2 linked regions of the Pelodiscus sinensis genome follow. The protein of the gene in region 1 purifies or fractionates together with the protein of each later gene. This does not show direct contact. Links are inferred from orthologs where the notes say so. Each region holds a gene or a part of one and is shown on either strand. Other genes may lie near its edges. The genes, in order: ARHGEF2 and MARK2.

What was found.
Region 2: the proteins of ARHGEF2 (region 1) and MARK2 purify together in Homo sapiens (affinity purification with western blotting; 3 studies listed by BioGRID and IntAct, with this or other methods). This does not show direct contact. The link is inferred for Pelodiscus sinensis from reciprocal best matches to the Homo sapiens genes ARHGEF2 and MARK2.

The regions. Positions count from the first base shown.
Region 1 is NC_134734.1:14,732,026-14,741,529, forward strand, and holds the start of ARHGEF2 (rho guanine nucleotide exchange factor 2), read left to right. Parts: upstream 1-5,066; 5' UTR 5,067-5,081; coding exon 5,082-5,103; intron 5,104-7,394; exon of another isoform or gene 7,395-7,509; intron 7,510-9,504. UniProt on the Homo sapiens protein: Activates Rho-GTPases by promoting the exchange of GDP for GTP.
Region 2 is NC_134721.1:33,912,368-33,922,806, reverse strand, and holds the start of MARK2 (serine/threonine-protein kinase MARK2), read left to right. Parts: upstream 1-6,347; 5' UTR 6,348-6,796; coding exon 6,797-6,853; intron 6,854-10,439. UniProt on the Homo sapiens protein: Serine/threonine-protein kinase. Involved in cell polarity and microtubule dynamics regulation. Phosphorylates CRTC2/TORC2, DCX, HDAC7, KIF13B, MAP2, MAP4 and RAB11FIP2. Phosphorylates the microtubule-associated protein MAPT/TAU.

The sequences.
Region 1 (9,504 bases):
ATAAGCTAAACTTTCTGCCCCCCTCCCAGACTCTGCACCCCAGTCCCCTGTCCTAGGTGACCGCCCCCTCCTTCACTAGGTCACAATCCAAACCCCTGCACCACAATCCTGTGACCCAGGTCACAACTGCCTCCTTTACCCAAACTCCCTCCCAGACCTCACTGGCCCTCCTGCACCCCAATCCCTCACCCCAGGGGTGGGCAAGACCGCCTCCGTGGGCCAGATCCAGCACGTCAAGCTGGATGATCCAGCCTGCAGCTGCCCTGCCACTCCCCTGCCCTCAGGCCAATCAAGACCTGGGGACGGGGGAGCTGGTGGTTGTCTCTAGGTCTAGGTGTTGGGGGATGGGAGGGTAAAGACTTCACAGGATCCCCCTGTCCCAGCCGATCAGGGTCTGTAGATGGGGGAGCATGGTAAGATTCCGGGCCCAACCCTTTTGCCCGAGGCCCACCCCTTCCGGAGTAGCCCACAACCACTTCAGAAATTTGTGAAGCGGCCCCACTTCAAAAATGGGTGTTATGGGGAATTTTGCTATTGACTTTAACAGGGTCAGAATTTCGCCACTAGCATTGATTGAAAGAGCTCTCCCCACCTGAAACATTGCAGCTTCCAGACAATAGTACTTCCCATGTTCAAATTCTTGGCATTCCAAAAGCTGCCCAGTAGGTAGCTGGGAGGGTTAGATTTGCCTTGGCAAATGTCAATAGCTGTTGATTTCACCGAACCCAAGGAGGACAAAATATTTCCATCAAGAATATTTGAAATGGACAGCTAGGCAAAGTGAGAAAAATGCTTCTGGGGAGAATTTTACCTTAATCATATTTACCATGCAACCAGCCGTTCTGCGGCACCTGAGAGACTAACAAATCTATTGGATCATGAGCTTCCGTGGGAAAAACCCACTTCCTCAGATACTTAACAGTGTAGTCAATTAACTGATAAGCAAAAACTGATAGGTTAATGCTATAGTATGCACATTTCCCTTCCCTCCCTCTCCTCTCCCCCTCCCCCTGCTGCCCTGCCCCTGACAGGGCTGGATTATCCAATAGGCAGACTAAGCATGTGTTTAGGGCACCAGCAAAGCAGGAGCACCAAAAAAAAAAAAAAGAGAGAGAGAGAGAGATTGTTACGGTATAGTATTGTTTTTATTTTGAATTACATATGGGGAGGCACCATAATCTTTTCAGTGCTTAGGGCCTCTAAAGGGCTTAATCCGGCCCTGCCTGGCTAGTAAACTTTCTTAGCAGGCTGGCCAGCAGCCTGGCTCAGTCCTGGCTTGCAATGGGTCCGGGATCTACCCCTGCTGCAGCTCTGCATTTAAAGTGTATTAGGAGCCGGGCAGGCAGGCAGCCTGGCTCAGTTCAGGCTTGTGCTGAGTCCAGGAGCTCAAACTGCCCTAGACAGGGGCTGCTGCCACTCCGCACTGCTGCCTTTTTGTCCATGGCTGCAGCACGGGGTGACAGGCAGCCGGTCTGTGAGGGGAGCTGGTTTTTAAGCTGTCTCCCCTCTTGAGCCAGCTCCCACTTGGCACCCTGCACTGCTGCCTCGGATACAGAGGCAGCAGCACGGAGTGAAGCCGGAGCCCACTGGCTGCTGGCCCCGCCCCCGGGGACTATAGAATAGTCGAGTAACAGATAAGAATTCATGAGGTTACTCAACTATCCAATTAACCAATATTTAACATCCCTTATTCTTGCTCTGTGTATCTTTAGTGTGTGGTGTTGACAACTTGTGTTTGTCTCAGCATTTGCTGTCATTCAGTCATTGTCTGTCCCTTATCCCCATTAATCCCTGAAACTGTGAAAATTGAAATATCTCAAGATGGGGGGATGCTTAAAACCCATAATTTGGCACAACTCTGAAGATTTGCATTGATAAAAATGACACACTGATATTATTGGTTGGCATACACGTTGAATCCTGCCAAGCCTACCAATAAAATATTTATCACTTGGGTTCTTTTTAAATTCCTTGTCATTTTCTCTCTATAAATCCAAGGGCTACAGAAGAAGGAAGTGCAGGCATCTCCCACATGTTACGAGGCTGTAACTCTCATCACGAGAGTGACAGGAGAGCTTGTAAATGGCCAGTGCAAGGCTGGAACGGTTTCTTCCTGTTCCGTTTGGGAGGCTTTGTTGAAGGTGAATGAGGAAACAGATCACAGCTTAATGTCTAATAGTAATAGAGATGTAGCGGTGTTAGTCTGGTCTTGCTGAAACAAAAGACAAAAAAGTGCTGCATAGTCCTGTCTTTTGTTTCAGCTTAATGTCTGTGCCAGGAAAGATAATGGAGCAGGCAATTAAGGAATTAATCTGTAAACACCTGGAAGATAATAAGGTGATAGGTAACAGCATGGATTTGTAAAGAACAAATCCCGTCAAACCAATCTGATAGCTTTCTTTGATAGGATATCAAGTCTTGTGGAAAAGGGGGAAGCAGTGGACGTGGTATACCCAGACTCTAGTACAGGGAGTCCCCGAGTTACGTGGATCCGACTTATGTCGGATCCCTACATACGAACGGGGCTTTTCTCACCCTGGAGGACGCGGGCGGCGGGACCGCCCAGACGCACCGCGGTCCCACTGCCCGTGTCCTCCGCGGCGAGAAAAGCTGCTCCGCGTCTCCCTGGTCTGCCGGCTTTGCTCCGCGTCTCCCCCAGCAGATTAGGGAGACGCGGAGTGGCTTTTCTCACCTGGTCCGCGGCGAGAAAAGCCTGGTCTGCTGGGAGGGGGGTGCACTAGCTGCGCCCCCCCAGCAGACCAGGGAGACGCGGGCGGCGGGACCGCCGAGACGCGCCGCGGTCCTGCCGCCTGCGTCCTCTGCAGCTTTGATCCGCGTCTCCCTGGTCTGCTGGGGGGGGGGGGCGCAGCTAGTGCGCCCCCCCCAGCAGACTAGGCTTTTCTCGCCGATGCCTGGGGTAGAGCAGCTGGGGTGCTGCCGGGTTGGTCCCGCAGCGCCGCTCCTCGGCGCTACTGGACCAACCCGGCAGCACTCCAGCTGCTCTGCCCCAGGGGTCCCCAAGTCAGCCGCTGCTGAAACTGACCAGCGGCTGACTACAGGAAGCCCAAGGCAGAGCAGCTCTGCCTCGGGCTTCCTGTAGCCAGCCGCTGGTCAGTTTCAACAGCGGCTGAATCTGGACGCCAGTTCCGACTTACATACAAATTCAACTTAAGAACAAACCTATAGTCCCTATATTCTGCGTAACCTGGGGACTGCCTGTAAAGCGTTTCATACGGTTTCACATGACCTTCTTATCAAAATGGTTCACAGTCATGCTGGAAATGCATAGCAGGTGGGGTTCCAAAGGGGTCAGTTTTGGGATAAATTCTGTTCAATATCTTCATCAGTAGTTTAGATACTGGTATAGACAGTATGCTTATAAAGCTTGCAAATGCTACCAAGTTGGGTGTGGTTGCAGGTGCTTTGGAGAATAGGGTCATAATTCAAAATAATCTGGAGAAATGGTCTGAGGTAAATAGCATGAAGTTCAATAAGGACAATTGCAAAGTGCTCCACTTAGGAAGGAGTTCTGCAGAAAGGGAACTTGGGGTCATAGTGGGCCACTAGCTAAATGTGAGTCAACTGTGTGACACTGTTGCAAGAAAAAGCTAACATGATTCTGGGATGCATTAACAGGAGTGTTATGAGAAAGACACGAAAGTCGTTCTTCTGCTCAACTCTGTGCTGATTAGGCCTCAGTTGGAGTATTGTATCCAGTTCTGGGCACCACATTTCAGGAAAGATGTGGAGAAATTGGAGAAGGTCCAGAGAAGAACAACAAAAAAGGATTAATGGTCTAGAAAACGTGGTCTAGGAGGGACGACTGAAAGAACTGGGATTATTTAGTTTGGAAAGGAGAAGACTGAGAGGGGACATGATAGCAACTTTCAGGTACCTAAAAGGATGTTTCAAAGGGGAGGGAGAAAAATTATTCTTCTTAACCTCTGAGGATAGAACAAGAAGCAATGGGCTTAAATTGCAGCAAGGGAGGTTTAGGTTGGACATTAGGAAAAAGTTACTGTCACATGATTAAGTGTTAGCATAAATTGCCTAGGGAGGTTGTGGAATCTCCATCATTGGAGATATTTAAGAACAGGTTGGCCAGACATGTATCAGGGATGATCTAGATGGTGCTTGGTTGGTCCTGCCATGAGTGCAGGGGCCTGGACGTGATCTCTAGAGGTCCCTTCCAGTTCTAGGATTCGGTGGGTGGAAGGGGAGGTATGACCTGCAGTAGTGAGAGGAGGAGGCTGGGAGCCAGGATACTGGTTCTAACTCGACTCCAGAAGGGAAGTGTTGCCTACTGGGCAGAGCAAAGTTAGGGCATGTCTAATTGAAATGGCTCATTTGAACATTCTGAGACTATGGTTAGTTTTCAGACTGGAGTCAGAAAATTGGGGAAGGCTTCTAATTTTAGGCAAGTGATGAGGGCTCCCTTGCAAAGTGAGCGCTGGCGCATAGTGGGTATGAGTCTGTAACCCCCCCCCTCCCCCCGCGCTAGGGTGGCTTGGCTGTTTAGCTCCCACTTTAAACGCTTGCAGGCCCTAGTTTGATCCCTGGTGCCAAGCTGGTGGCCATTCCATGCACACACACACATACTTCCTATCAGCGGTTGTCCAGTTCCTGGGACTTTCTTCCCTGGACCACTGGGTCCCTGTTCATGGGAATCTGGTCCCATTCTAGAGGAGATCTGGAATACAGGGGAATCCCCAGCCTAGTCAGATCCAGCTAGTGTCTCATCTCCAACAGCGACCTATAGTGGCACATGTGGGGAGGGGGGTGTTCTATCCACTCACAATTGGTCCCATCCTGATTTCGAAGAGAACTTGGGCCAGGCTTGGGAGCCGTTGGCTGTTCCAACTCTGGTCCGTAGTCTGAGCCCTTGATGTCTCTCTCCAGCCTCCTAAATCCCTCTTCTCCACCCCTCCCCCACCCCGGGCATTTTTGTGCGTGCGCCTGTTCCTCCCCCTCTCAGCAGCTTTGCTCTCAAGCCTGTTTACATTCCCCAGCCGCACACGCAGTGCCATGCGGGGTAGGACGTGCTTGTCTGAGCTCCCTTCCGAGTCCTGTTCTGAACTAGAATGACTGTCGCTTCTACTAAAGGTACAGGCAGGAGGCACGCAGGGCCGGGCAGGGCCGCGCTGTTCTTAGTTACTTGTTTTGATCAGTTTTAGAAGGAGGCCACGTGGGCTTGGGGGTAGGGTCCTCGGTGGGGAGTTGTGATGTAGCGGGAACTGTATTCACTCTTGCAGTTGCTGAAAGTCACTGTATTCATGCTGTTTGCTTTGTTGGGTCATGTGTGATTCTACTGTCCTATGCTGTTCTGGAGTGATGGTGGGGGGATGTGTGTGTGCGTGTGTGCCTCAGTTTCCCTGGGCAGTTCAACATTGCCTGGAATGGGGGGGGGGGGGGAGCATGACTCACTGAAGAAGTGAATTTGGTCTCACACCTGAGAGCCAGGTGATAGGAGATAACACCTTTGCTGGGGAATCGGAACAAAGGAGGGGGCGGGGCTGCCTAGAAGGCTGAGACCAGTTGCTGGGTGTGTGAGTTTAGTTTTCTGCTGCTGTAGGGAGGAGGGAGTGTAGCTGGCTTGGGGGGCTCTGGGCCCCCTCGTCCCTAAGATGGATTGTACTGAAAGCTCCTGGTTCCTGTAACAAGTCTGCTATGCCGTGTCCCTGTCAACAAATACACCTTCTGTTCTACTTGTTGGCTGAGTCTCACATCTGACTGCGGATGGGGGTGCAGGGCTCGGTAACTACCCCACACTCTGTGACAGGAGTGAAGCTGCATTCCTGGCTCTAGGAGAGGTGTGGGGCCTGCCTGTTAGAGCAGGTGACTTGACGCCAGGACTCTTGTGTTCTGTTTGTGGCAGTGACAGAGAAGTATATGACTGGAAGCCAGGACTCTTGGATTCCCTGCTCTGCCACTGATTTTCCTAGATGACCTTTAGCAAGTCATTTCCTCTCCCTTTGCCTTAATCTCCCCATATGTAGCCCCCCTCCACCTCACTGTCCTCCAACCTAGCCAAAACAATATTTGATCCTCCCCTGGGGGGAGAAGGTGAGAGAGAGAAAAAACCATGGCAGCTAGCTGCTAGGTTGCTTAATTCACTCCTAGAAGGAGCTGACATGCAATTGGGCAGAGGAAGGTACTTGGATTGCAGTCTTTTTGGGGCAGGGGCTGTCATTTCATACAGGGGGTGTCTGTGTTTACAATGGGGTCTCAGGCATGACTGGGGTTCCTAGGTGCTCCAAAAATTAAAATAGTAAGAGAAGGCACAATAACTTCTGTAGAGTCTAATAGAAGAGAGCTGTCTTTCCCCACCCCCACCCCCAAAGAGGATTTGAGGGGAGCTAATTCAGTGCTCTGAGCTCCTCATTTGGTAGTACAATTTCTTTTCGGTCTCTCTCCAGCAGAGCCACCCACCACAATGAATTCCACCGCTTGAGCTAAGAGAGTCGCTCTGCTCCCTGGCAGCAGTAGTAAACCATTATCCTCCATCACAGCAGCCTCCGGATGGGGACACAGCACACATGTAGTCATGCCAGCCCTGCCGGGGGAAGCAAGCCTTGCTTTGCTTTGCAGTCACTGGCCTGATTCTGAGATGGGCACTGGCTTCCTGGAAGGGTTGTCTAGGGAAAGGGAGACTGGCCTGTCCACCCAAGCTGGAATCCTGTTGTCTTGTATACTTCCGCTAGGTTTCCATGGGCTACCGCCCCCTGCCCTCAGCTCCTCGCTGGCTCAGGCCAGCATGCTGAGTGGTGACATAGGCTTTCCCCCAGGGCTCCTAGAGCAGTGTTTCTCCCAGTGGGCTGTGGGCCGGCTTTGGGAAAGCCGCTAGTGGGCCTGCGCTGCTTTGTTTACCTAAATGCTCCGTAGCTCATGGCTCCGGTTCGATGTTTCCAGCCAAAGGGGAGTCCTAGTTCCCTGCTCTAACCACTAAACAATCCACACATCCCAGAGCTGAGGGTAGACCCCAGGAGTCCTGTTTCCAGATCCATCCCCTGTTACACTCCCCTATATTGACAAGAGGGCTAAATTTACCAGGAATCCTGACTCCCAGCCCTCCATTTTGGCCTAAGTCACACTCCCCTTCCAGAGTTGGGACTGGATTCCAGTCTTCCCTCCCCCAAGCTTGAATTGCTAGACGCCTCTTCCTGGGAATGGATGCCAGGTCTCCCTGTCCCACCCCGCCTTTAACCACTAGCTCATACTCCCCTCCCGTTGTTGGCCCATCCCTACATATGGACAATTGGTAACTGGCCTAGGACAATTCAATCAAGAGCTGTCAGCAGCTAACGGGCCGAAGGGGCGGAAAGTTCTTATCAGCTGACAGCGTCTGGGAACTCGAAAACAGGAAAGCGTCTGAGTTCATCCCGTTGGACCGGGGCGGTAGCTAGGAAGTTTGTACAGCAGGGGAGAAACAGGAGCTGGCAGGCTGGCCGCGAGCGCGGAAGGCATCCAAGCAGAGACGGGAACAGGTCTTTCCAACAGCAGGTGCAGAGGGTGAGTCTGGGGCAGCTAGAATGAGGTGGGGCTGATCCCCCAGAGAGGTGAATGCACAGTAGGGCCTGGGGCGGGATGGGCCTGCTTTGGCACTTTGGTTCTTTGATTGGGGATGAGCAGGGCTGGTAGGCATGGCGCTGAAGCTGGGCAGCATGATCTAGTGGAGAGGGAATTGGGCCGAGTCTCAGCAAGGCTGGGTTCTATTCCTGGCGCTGCCACTGACCTGCTGCTTGACCTTGGGCAAGTCACTTCCCCTCTCTGCGCCACAGTTTCCATCTTGCCCTGTCTGTTTTAGATTGGCCCCAATTGGAACAGCTTACAATATTTCCTCTAATCTTTTCCATGTGCAGAATATTTTTTTATTTGCACCAAGGCATGTGCAAATGTGCACCACCAATAGAAACAAAAAGCTTAACTGTGCGCACTCTGCTAATTGGCTGGGCAGCATTTGAATCTCTCCCGAGCGGCTGCACAAGTGCCCAGCTGCCTGGGATTTCAATTCTTGGCTCTGCCACAGGCTCTTTGTGCAACCCTGGGCAAATCACTTAGTTTATGTCTAGTGAGTGGATGTGATTTCTGCTTGAGGCATCGTAGTCCAGCTTGCTCCGGTCCCAGAACAGTGAAGTGGTGACCAGCACCTGCAGTCTAGACACATACCTTTAATCCTTCTGGGTCTTGTCAGGGCTGTTCCCCACTTTGGCACTCCAAGTGAAGAAGGTGGGGGCCTGCAAGGGATCTTAAATACCTTGCCCCTATAGGCTTCTGCTTTAAAAAAACCCCAAACTCCCTAAGGTTACAGATTTCCTGGCCTTGAGAAAGAGGCTGCCACCATCAAGTGAATTAAGAAAAATCCTGAAAACCAGGAAGAAACACTTGAACTTCTTCCCAAGAGGTACCCCCGAGCTCTTTTGCCACAAGATAACTTGAAAAAATAAACAAAAAAACACAGAAAACAAACTGTCTCTCTGATAGCTGACCCCTCGGGCTAGGCAGGCGCACACAAAGACCTTCTGTTACTTTCCAGACACAAGAATCAAATCATTGCATTAAAAAGGTGATTTTATTAATAAAACAAAAAGGTAGACTTGATAAAGTGCACTTGGTTGCTAGGTGTTTTATAGAGCAACAAAGAAAAGAACAGATCAAACCACAAAGAAACATAGTCCTTTGAGCTGTAGCTTGGATATGGGGAAAGGAAGTTCACCCAGAAAGTTTAACTAAACTACAAAATAAAAAAAAACAAAACCCCTGGTTGTGATTAAATATATATTCTTCTATCTACTCATGATCCATACTGATCTGTACTTCAAGGCCCCGTCTATTCCCGTACCCAATTTTTCTTGTAAGCATGGTCTTTCTGTTTGATTACTTCATCTTGTTTCCTCCAGCTGCTAATTTAGAACTCACACAAAGGAAGAGCAACCAAGTATCTCTATTCAATTTACATTTCAACTGTCTTTCCGCCAACATCCCCTAGCTACCTGAGTTTAACCCTCTAGTCACTATGAGGAGCCAGTGCTCCTCCTATCCATCTCAGGCCTCAACAGCCTATCTGTAAAATGGGATTAATTATTTTAATAAGGTTAGTTCCTTTGTCCTGGTTTTAGATACAAGACAGGGACTGTCCCGTCCTAGGTGTCAGTGCAGTGCCTAACACCATCAAACCCTGATCTCAGCCGTGGTCGCTGTGCTGTTGTACTAATAACAACACTACAAAGAGCAGAAGGGGTGTTTTTGATCTTGTGGTGCTGGTAGGAAAATTCTCTCTGTCTTTTTCAATGGATCTGGGAGCTAGCGAGGGTTGCCAACTATATCACTGTGTAAACCCTAAAACCTTTACTCTGCCCCCTGTCCTGCCCCTTCTCCGAGGCCCCAGTCACACTCTCCCCATCCCTGCCCCTGCCTCTGGCTCTCACTTCCTCACCTTCTCACTCTCACCAGGTCGGGTTGGGAGTTTAGGTGAGGGAGAGGGTGTGGAGTGCAGACTCTGGAAGG
Region 2 (10,439 bases), on another chromosome or scaffold:
CTCACAGGCAATGGTGGTTAGTGGAACAACCTGGGCCCTCTGCTCCCCTGGTTCCCAGCTGTGTCACCTAAAGAAGGGAGTTTGGGGGAAGAGACGGAACCACCCCCTGCACTCATGATGGTGGGAAGCGGAGCGGTGTGGCTGGAAGCCAGTGGAGAAGAGCAGGCTGGGCCTGGGTCGCTACCCTTCCCGTCACTGGTGAGTGTGGGACTGGGCCTGTCCCCTGTGCCGGTGCCAGGCCCCCCGCTAGTCCCCTGGGCCAGGTCGCTTGGAGGAGGGGGCTTGGGAGAAGATGTGGAATGTGGTTTTGGGAGGGGCTAGAGCAGGGGTAGGAAGAGACAGGGCAGGGGCAGAGTGGGGTGGGGCTTAAAAGAAGGGGTGGTGTGTAGCCGGGACGAGGGCACAGTAGGGACGGAATTGGATTGTTCCAGGTCCCATCCTCCCCCCCCAGGGGTGGCCCTGATGGGTGCAACCTGTTGGGGGGCAACCGAGTGATGGGGCTGGTCACTGGAGCCAGCGCTGCCCCATACGCAGCAGGCAGCTGTGTAAGAACCACACAATGTAAGGCAATGTGGTGCCCCAAATTTCATGGAGCCCTATGCAGCTGTGTATTTTGCATCCAGGTGGGGGCAGCCTTGCTGGCCTCCCATCCACTCGTCCAGTGCATCCTTGGGCACTGGGTGCCTGGGAACTTGCACACTCCTGGTCGTCCTCTTATGCATTGCACCCCATGGCACCCTCCTGTATTGCATGGATGCAATTGAGTGAATTAGTGTGTCCACTCATCCCTCCTGCAGCCTGTACTTAGAGCCCCCTGTGGATAGGATGGCTGGGATTGGGGGGGAGTCACTGGGAGAAGAGCATAAAACTGAAAATCCTAATTTCCCCACCTGGCTGTACCAGCCCAGCCCTGCAGATACCCCTAAATCCCAGCCCACCTTGGCCGTGGCTTCTTGGGGGAAAGTTGTGGGGTGCATATGGACGTTCTGTTTGTGTTTCCTGGGGGGGCTCATATTTGGGGGGGGATCTTATTCAGTCTGTGGGGGATGGCCTGGGGCTTCTCTGTATCCCACCCAGGGCCCATGGAGTTCTCTGCAGTGGGGCAGTAGGAGGCAAGGCCCTCTCCTGAGCAGTAACAATTGGCCTGTTCCTCCCCCTCCCCTTTGACTTTTGTCTTCCCTGCTGCCATCTGGGGGGATGCCCCTGCTGGTTAGGAGCTGGCACTGCATCCCTGCTGCTGGGAGTGTGCTTCCATGCAGAGGGGAAGGAGGATCCTGTTCACAGGTGACTCTGGCATCCTGACGATTCTGGGACCCAGTGGGCAGGGGGATTATGGGCGTTTGGCCCTTTTTCTCTTGCTACAGTCCCAGGCTGGTGTCAATCCTCTACAGCACAACGGGGCCCAGAAGAATCCCAAGGGCTCCCTCCACTCAAAAGGCAACAGGGCCTGGGAACAGCCTTGGGGAGGTGCCTCCACCCATAATACATGGGGCTGGGAGCAACTATAGGGGTTGCCCCTGCCCATAATACACTGGGGCATATGAACCCTACCCTTGACCACAGGGGTTGCATCCCTCACCTCCCTGGGAGGGAGGGGGTTAGGATGCAGACGTAGTAGGGGGTAACAGGGCCAAGGAAAGTGGTCTAGGGGACATAGGACTAGGGGGATCAGTGGGGAACACATTAGAGAGGAACTCATTGGAGAAGAAAGGGCCTGGGGAACACAGGCCTTGGGACTCAGAGGGAGCTGGTGGGGAACGGGTTTGGGGTCACAGGATTGAGGGGGTTTCAGACGGGTCTGGAGGGGAAAGGGATTTGGAGGGCACAGATTTGGGGGATTCAGAGGGGACTGGAGGGAAAGGGGTCTGAGGGCATAGAACTGGGGGGGAGGGCTCAGAGAAGGCTGGAAGGCCCAGAGGGGGCTGGTGGGGAAGGAGTCTGTGGTTACAGAATTATGAGGGCTCAGAGGGGGCTGGAGGGCTCAGAATAGGATGGAGGGGGAGAGGTCTGGGGGCACAGAACTGGGGGGACTCAGAGGGAGCTGGAGGGAAGTGGTCTGGGGGGCACAGGACTGGGGGGCTTGATGGGGCTAGAGTAGAGGGGGTCCAAGGCATACAAGACTGGGGATGGGACAAAGGACCCAGAGGGGGGACAGCATGTGTGGTGCCTCTAATGATCCCCAGGGCCATGCCAGCCGGTGGTGGGAGTGTCTTGCTCCTTCCTGCCTTGGCTTTAGACATTGATTTGCTCTGGTTCTCCACCGGGAGCAGGGCTCCTTCTTATGGTCCCTACAAAACCCTCTCCCAGTGCACAAAAACTCCCCCCCCATTGGTGTTCAGCACCACCCTCTGCAGCAGGGAAAGCTGAGTCTCCCTCAGTCCAGCAGCCAGAGAAGGGACAGAACAAGAAAGAGTTAACAGCAGAGCAGCTTCCTCCCTCCTCCATCTGACCATGTGACTGCGCCACTAGCACCTCCCTCTTGCCGCGATGGGGCTACATAGTTGGAAACTCCTACTCTAAGGCAGAGCTGGGGTGGGGGTGGGGGAATCCTGACTCACAGCCCCCCTCCAGCCAGCAGGCTTCCTTCCTTTCCTGCCTCCTCTCCCCAGCCTCTAGGTTTCCTTCTGTCCCCCCTCTTTGGCTTTCCCTCCAGCCTGCTGACTGTCTTCTGCTGCCCGCTCCAGCCCTTGAGGTGCCTTTTGCTGCAAGGACCATTCTCTCCATGGCCGTCATAAATCATCCACGGCAAACACTCCAGAGCCCAGCCCCTGGTTCCTGAGGAAGCCCCAACAAATCAGGAGAACAACGAACTACTGGCTGGCCAGCCTGCAATTGATCCCCCAGGGAACCTAGGACTAGTTCCTTTGCGATCTGCTTTTCCCCAGTTCCCTTCAATTTTGATTGGAAGGTGTTTCTGCTGGACAGCAACCTTGCCCCTGTTGGCAGCTGAGTGGCGCAGTCTCCTGCCCCCATATTGCACATTCTTTGCTCCCTTGGAAGCCACAAGGGATGAGGGACCATATTTTTCTGCACCTCCTGGCTGCTATGGGGCATTCCTTATCCCTGGCATCAACCCCAGGACTCAGGGGTTTGAGACAGGAGTAGAAAGCCAAAGTAACCTCCTTCCAAGCAGGTCAGGCTGGCTCAACAAGCCCTAGCTGCTATTAAACACAGGCTGCTCTGAGTCAACACTCTTGGGTCCAAGCTCTGGCTCTCCCTTTGCCTCTAGGTTTGCAAACCATGGCCCTGGGGAATAATGGGACCCAGTGAGTAGGGCACTGGGTTGGAACTCAGGATGCTTGGGAATTGTTCCCAGCTCTGCCACTGACCTTGGGGAAAGGGCCTTCTCGTCTCTGGGCCTGCATATCTCCCCCCAACCTTTGTTTAGATTTTAAGCTCTTAGGGGCCCACGCTGCCTTTCCTATAGTGCTGTGATTTCAGCTGGGGGGGAGGTTGTGTCTATGCAGCCTATGGCACAATGGAGACCCTGATCTTGGTCAGTTTGTGAAGCCACAACACAATGGGGTCTTGATCTTGGTCCAGACGATCGTGGATACACAGAACAACAATAAAGCTGCACAAAGTAGTTCCCCACTGCGTGATTCTGGACGGACATTCAAGAGCGGCATGAAGCTCTGTTCATGACTGGGGCCCTCCAGTGGTAGGCTGAAAATTTTGCTTGGTGTGCTACATATGCAATCTGGCTAGGGATCCCTGGGGAACTGGCCTCATCAGCAGTCCCTCCTTGCTGATGTAGTGCTGTGTGCCAAGCTGCTAAGCAGAGAGGCAGTGTGTAGCTCTGCTGCAGTGTGCAATGTGTCATGGTGTGTTTGAACACAACAGTTTTGATAATCCTCCTGGTGTTGCACTGCACTGGAGGCCTGACTTGCTTCTTTGCTAGCTCACTATGCCCTAGCTCTCTGACTGGAATCTCTACCTCTTTACAGGATATTTGGTTCTGGGGGAAGATCAACAGAGACCCAGATTTGGGAACAATTCACAAATGCAAGCATCAGCCAGTCCCACTTGGTGGTGCTAATGTTGGCTACATGATATATGAGCATCCTCTAGTACAGTGTTTCTCAAACTGTGGTTGCATGGACCAGCATTAGACTTGCTGGGAACCAGGGCTGAAGCTGAAGCACATGCTCCACCCCACCCAGGACAGTGGGGCTTGGACTGTGGACCCCTTTCCTCCCACCCAGGGTGGTGGGATTCAGGCTCCAACCTCTCCCCCCCGGATCATGCATTAACTTTATTGTCAGAAGGGGGCTTGTGATGCAATAAGAACCCCTGCTCTAGTGTGTATGTGGATGCAGAGATATTGCACAAGTGTGTGCATGTAGGTGTGAGTATGTGCATGCAGCTGAGACTCTGGGAAGGTATGTGGATGTGTTTGCACATCAACATTGCACAGGTGTGTGTAGGCAGCTGTGACTCAGGGTAGGAGTGCTTGAGTGTGTGCACATGGCTGTGCAAGCAGATGTGTATTTTTGTGTGTGCACAAATTTACATGAGCATGCATGCAACTATAGGTGTATGCATGCAGCTGCAGATGTGTCCATGTGCATGAAGCTATGGATGCATCTGCATGTCATTGTGGGTGGGTATCTGTAGCTGTTGGAGTATTCCCGTATGTCAGGGGTGGGGAACTTTTTTTGGGTCTGGTGCCATGTGACCCATAGAAAAATCAGTCAAGGGCCACACACAAAACACACACACTGAAGCGGCTGATTGAGGAGAAAGACACTCCCTACATTGCCCTTGCACACCAGAGCCTGGCGGGCCCAGCCTAGTAGATTTTGTGTTCTCCAGCCCTGTGGTTGGGCAGTGGAGGGAGAGGGGGCACTGGAGCACCAGCACAGGCTCCCCAGTGCAGGGGAGTCCCTGAATCTCGGAGTCCGGATCCGGGCAAGCCGGGGTCCACATCTGATCCCTGGGCCTGAGGTTCCCCACCCGTACTGTATGTGATTGCCACTATGGGCCTGTACCAATGTGAGTGTGCATGATTGTACATGCAGCAGTGAGCATCTGTGGATATGCAGATGTTTGTGTGTGCAGCCCAGCCAGGAAGTGTGTGAAAGAGGCAGTGGGGACCCAGATTGTCTGTGTGTGTGCACTGCATGCAGCTGTGGCCATGTGCAAGCCATGCGAGGGCTCCCCCTGCCAATTCCTGGAGCTCGTACACTCCGGCTCCGGCTAACTGGGGCGCTGCACGTCGTCAGCAGCAGTCAGCTCCCATCGCATCTCCAGGACGCTGCAGTGGGTGCTAAGCGCCAGCTGCGTCAGCCTTTGCTGCCGGCCGGCACCAACTGCAGTTCCACCGCTTCACAGCAGGTGGCGCCGCTAGCGCACATCAGCCCGTGGGGCTGGGTGACGAGGCTTGGCAGTAGCAACCGGGAGAAGGCGGGGTCTCGTCGCTTCGGAACGTCACTGCGCGCGCGGGGGAGGAGGGCGGTTGGGTAGCGCCAGCCCCCATGCACGGAAGAGACCACTGGGAGCGGGGGGGGGGAACCCTGTGCTGTAGGTGGGTGAGGCAGGGACGCGCGGGGGGAGGGGCGTTACGGGTGAGTCTTGCGTCTCCAGGGGGCGCATGAAGCGCAGGTGCAGATGGGAGTGCGAGTGCGAGGACCTCTCCGGCTGGGCACGGGCACTTGCAGGCCTAGGCCGTGTGTCTATGCAGCTGCACTTGCAGGTGTGTGTGTGACGCGCCCAGGTGTACACACACACTTGTGCATGTTTGCACGATGCGGTGTGTACGTGAGCGCATAGCGACTCAATCCGTTGTGTGCCGGGTGTGCATCCTTGTGCGCCCATTTACCCAAATGGCTGATTTAATCTTCCTCCTCTTTAGCCTGGCTCCCCTCCGCACGGGAGAATAAGCCCCCTCGGGGGCTCGCGCAAACCACATTTGCGGAAATAGCCGAGGCTAGTCGGCTCCTCCTGTTTTCGCCCCCGGGCTCGGTTATTCGCCTTGGAAAGGCGGAAAGAGTCGAAACCTCTTCGGCTTGTTCGTTGGTTTCCGGAAATTGCCGAAAAGAGCGTCAGCAAGGGGGCGGGGAATATTCCGGAAACTGCCGATCTTCAGCCTTCGGTTACTCTCGGGCGCTCATCCGGAAGTGTCCGATTGCTGTCCCGAAGGCGAACTTCGGGTTTATCCGGAAGGAGGCGAAGTGACCGATCGCGAAAGGGGCCGCGCCTGCTGTTTCGGATGTTTCCGGAAGGAGGCGCGAACTGGCGATGACAGGGAGGGTGAATCGAGAGTTTCCGTCAGACGGCGGAAGCTGCCGAGAAGGGGTTGGGGGCTGGGGTTTCCGGAACCGGCGGAAACTGGCTCCGACGAGCGGCTCGGATGTTTCCGGAAGGGGGCGGAAATGGCCGAAGGCCGGTGGCGGCGGCCATGTTGGGATCTGCTGCCGCTGCTGCTGTGTGAATGTGAGATGCGCTGAGGGGAGCCGGGTCTCGGGGCGGAGAAGGCGGCTCGGCCAGGGGCACTCGGCCTCCGGGTCTCCTCAGCCCCGGCTCTGTGCAGCCTTCGCTCACGCGTACGCCTGGCTGCCGGCGGCGCGGCCTGGTCCCTGCGCCTCATCCCCGGGTTCGCCTGAGCCGCCGGGCCGGGCTTCCCTCATCGCGGCCCGGCGGAGACCCATGTCCGAGTCCCGGCGGTTTCCGGCTCCCTGAATCCCCCCTCCCCCTTTGGGCTCCCCCATGGTGGTGGCCTGGCCGCCCCCCCCGGTGTGAGGAGAGCCCCAGGAACCGCCGGAGCCCCAGGAGCCGCTGGCCAAGGGGGCCCAAGATGTCGAGCAGCGGCCGGAGCCCCCTCCCCACCGTGAATGAGAGAGACACGGAACAGGTAGGGGGCTGGGGGGCCCCTAACCCGAGGGAGGGAGGGAGCGAGGCAGGGAGGGCGGGATGCCGTATTTTGCTGAGGGAAGGGAATGCAGGGGGGCAGGAGAGGGGTTCCCTGCTCCGGGTGGGGGGAGATAGAGCAAGCATTGACTATAGGGTGGGTAATACCCCATGCCCTGCAGCTCCCCATCCTGTGCTTCTAATGGTTAAGTGAGGGGTGGGAACCTCCTTCTTCATAGATCGATATGCATCCTTCTTGAGTCCTTAAGGGTCCATCTGGTCTTCCCTGTGATGGGGCATGTGGAGCAGGAAGGCAGGAGAGGAGATTCCTACAGAATCCCCTGTGTATGTATACGTATCTTCCACCTAGTAAGTCCCTTCATGCCTCCCAAACTCTGTGGTCTATAGTGTACCTACTGGAGATAGTGCAGATCAGGGAAGAGATTATATGTATTCCCACATACCCAGTACTTCATCACTAACTGCTGTCAATGGAGAATGAGATATTGAGACAAATAAGGGAGAGACTACTATGTATCTGCTCTGTGCACAGAGCTACAGATCCCCTGTGTATCTTCCCTCAAAGTGGATGCAGGGACACTTGGAACCCTGTAATGATTCCCTGGTGAAAGAGAGGCATGCGGCAGGATGATACAAATAAATATCTATATAGTTCTTATTCCCATAGGCTGAGTGGTCCATGCAGGAGTGGCTGTAATCCACTTCTGTGCATTAATGCTCCACTTTCAATCTCCCTGAAATGGGAAGAAGAGAGCAGTGGATTGATTTATTCCCTGTGGCATGCATGAGCAATTGGGAGCAGGGATCTTTTCCATCTTTCCTTCCCCTCCCATATATTAATTGCCTCATCAGCCCATGCTGAATGATGGGGGTTTTGAATGGGCAAGGGAAATGGCCCCCTGCTCTGCCTCTCTTTGCCTTTTCTGCTGCTCCATATCACATCAGGTCCTTCCTTGGCTTTCATAGTGAAGGAAGATCCCACTTCCATGCTCACTCATTATTCCCCTATGCCCTTATTAGGTTTACCTCTCAAGTGCCTCATTCATTTGCAGCTCAAGATGCCTGGTGACATGGTGGTGGTTTGCTTTTTCAGGGGTGCATTTGTGAGAGATGACAACTAGTGAGCAAATTGCATTCCCAACTGAATTTAAGAAACAGCTCATAAAGACACACAAATCTAACCTGTTTTAATCCTCATGACCCTTGTGAGTCGAGACCTGCTGTAGACATGAACTTCCCATAGTCAGTAATTTTTTTTTAGGTGATTTGTGGAGAAAAGAAGGGACTGGCTGTGCAGCCAGGATCTCTCTGGCTGTTGTGTTTAGCTGCATAAGGTAATCAAAACATGGTTTTGGACTTTATTTGTAAAGAGTATTTCACTTGCACTAACAGCCTTCCTTCCATGAAGTCTGATTCATTCTAAGTGGTTGATGCCATATGCTACTTAGTCTCCTCCTTATCTTTGTCCAAAGCAAAGGTATTTTAAAAATGGGCTTCACTCCCAGTCTTGAGATGGCTATGTAGTTTAGGGATGTTAAATATTGGTTAACTGAATAGTCAAGTAACCTCATGAATTCTTATTGATTACTCGACTATTCTATAGTCCTGGGGGGAGGCGGGGGGCAGGTGCCAAGTGGGTGCTGGTCTGTGAGGGGAACCAGTTTAAAAACCAACTTCTCTTGTGGACCAGCTGTTTGTTGCCCTGTGCTGCTGCCTCTAATATAGGGGAGGCAGCAGCCCCTGTCCATGGTGGGAAGAGGTCTGAGCTCCTGGACTCATTGTGAGCCAGAACTGAGCCAAGCTGCCTGCCCACCTACCTCCTAATAATACACTTTAAATGCAGAGCTACAGTGGGGGTAGGTCTCATACCTGTCACGAGCCAGGACTGAGACAGGCTGCTCACCATACTGCTAACAAATTTACTGCCCAGCGGAGGGAATGCATGTAGTCTGTAGCATTAACCTATAAGCTTTTTCTTATTGGTTAATCAACTACACTATTGCATCCCTAATGTGGTTGTATCCCCATTACTAATGAAGCTTGAGGAGGTGTGGAATTGTGTATGTACGCTTGTGTATTGTGTGGCTAAGAGGGCCCTAGCTGCCCTTTGACCACTAATGTATGCTTTATGTTGGTGAAGTTGGTCCTGGTTTCAAAACATGCCCTGGTGCTTCTTAGAATTAATAGAATTTTCTTCTCTGGTACCTTTAAACAAGCAGGAATACAGCTTCAGAATGGGGATCAGCTCCCTCTGTTTCTATTAACTGGTCTCATTTCATCTGGCGTTCTTAACAGTTTCTTCAAAATAACTAAATTTGGCTGACATTTAAGCACAATTGATCTAAAGCTGTTTCCATGATCTCTCTTCAGCTGCCTTAACTTTAAATTGCTAAAGCATAAAAATAAAGCTTCTGCTTCCCTTATCCCTGTATGAATGGCTGGATAATGAGAATTCAGATCTCAGACTGACACTTCAGACCGGCTGTCAATGATTTAGGCTTCTTTAGCTGTGTCCTTCCCTGTTTTCTTTGTGGGTGGAGGGTTGCAAGTAGATTATTATGGTGCATAATAAAGGCAAAAGCAGAACATAATTCAGAGCCAAGATTTCAGTCATCTTCTTCCGTTAAAACTAGAGGTCTGGAGAGTTGGCAGGAATCTGAATGATCAATAATATAAGAATTTATCTTTGTGGCAGTGTTAAGAGGGAATTGTGGAGATGTCAGAGAACTGAAACCAAGGAAGGCAAACTATAGTGCATCTCCATCTCTTGTTGCTTTTTCACTTTGGGGTCATCTTGTGTTTTTAAGAAGATAACAGCATCAGAGGCAGGGTAGGGGGCTTGTACAGAATCCTTTTCCACACAGCTCTACCAACTTAGCTAAATCCTGACTAGGATGTAAAATCCTGTTTAATTTTCAAACGCAGCATTAACACTATGTTTAACTGGTTAACTGATTAAAAAAGGAGTAGGGAGAAGCAGAGGTTGAAATCCTTTTCCTCCTCCCCCGCAGGCAGGAGCTGCTCCGGCTGAGCTGGGAGCAGCTCACCTTTAAAGGTGATGGTTAACTGTAACCAGTTAACTGTTCACATCCCTAGTCCTGACATCCCTAGTCCTGACATTTCCACCCTTGGTTTGTTTTGACCAGAGAGCTATTAACCATCCTAAACTGATCATCTAAACTGAAGAGCAAAACTTTGCCAAAGTTCTCTTTGTTGTGTGGTAGTGGCTTTTCATGATCAAAACTGAGGTGTGCCTTGTCTAAAAAACTGTTTCTAGTGGAAAATGTAGCTTGAGAACCTCTTGCTTTCAAGGTAGAGTCAACTATTTTGAGGTTAAAAACAGGAAGTGTTGTAATTTCTCTTATCTAGAACATTGCAGATGACTGTTTCAGGCATCTGGACCATCAAAACTGATGTATATTTCATCATTGAGTAAAAGCTTAACAGGTTGAACTTCTCTAGTCTGGCACTCTCTGGTCCGGTAACTTCCGTGGTCCGGCATGATTTTAGTTAGCTGGTTCTCCACTTATTATGGGTGTGGCCAAGTTTCCTGTAGTCACATGAAGTTT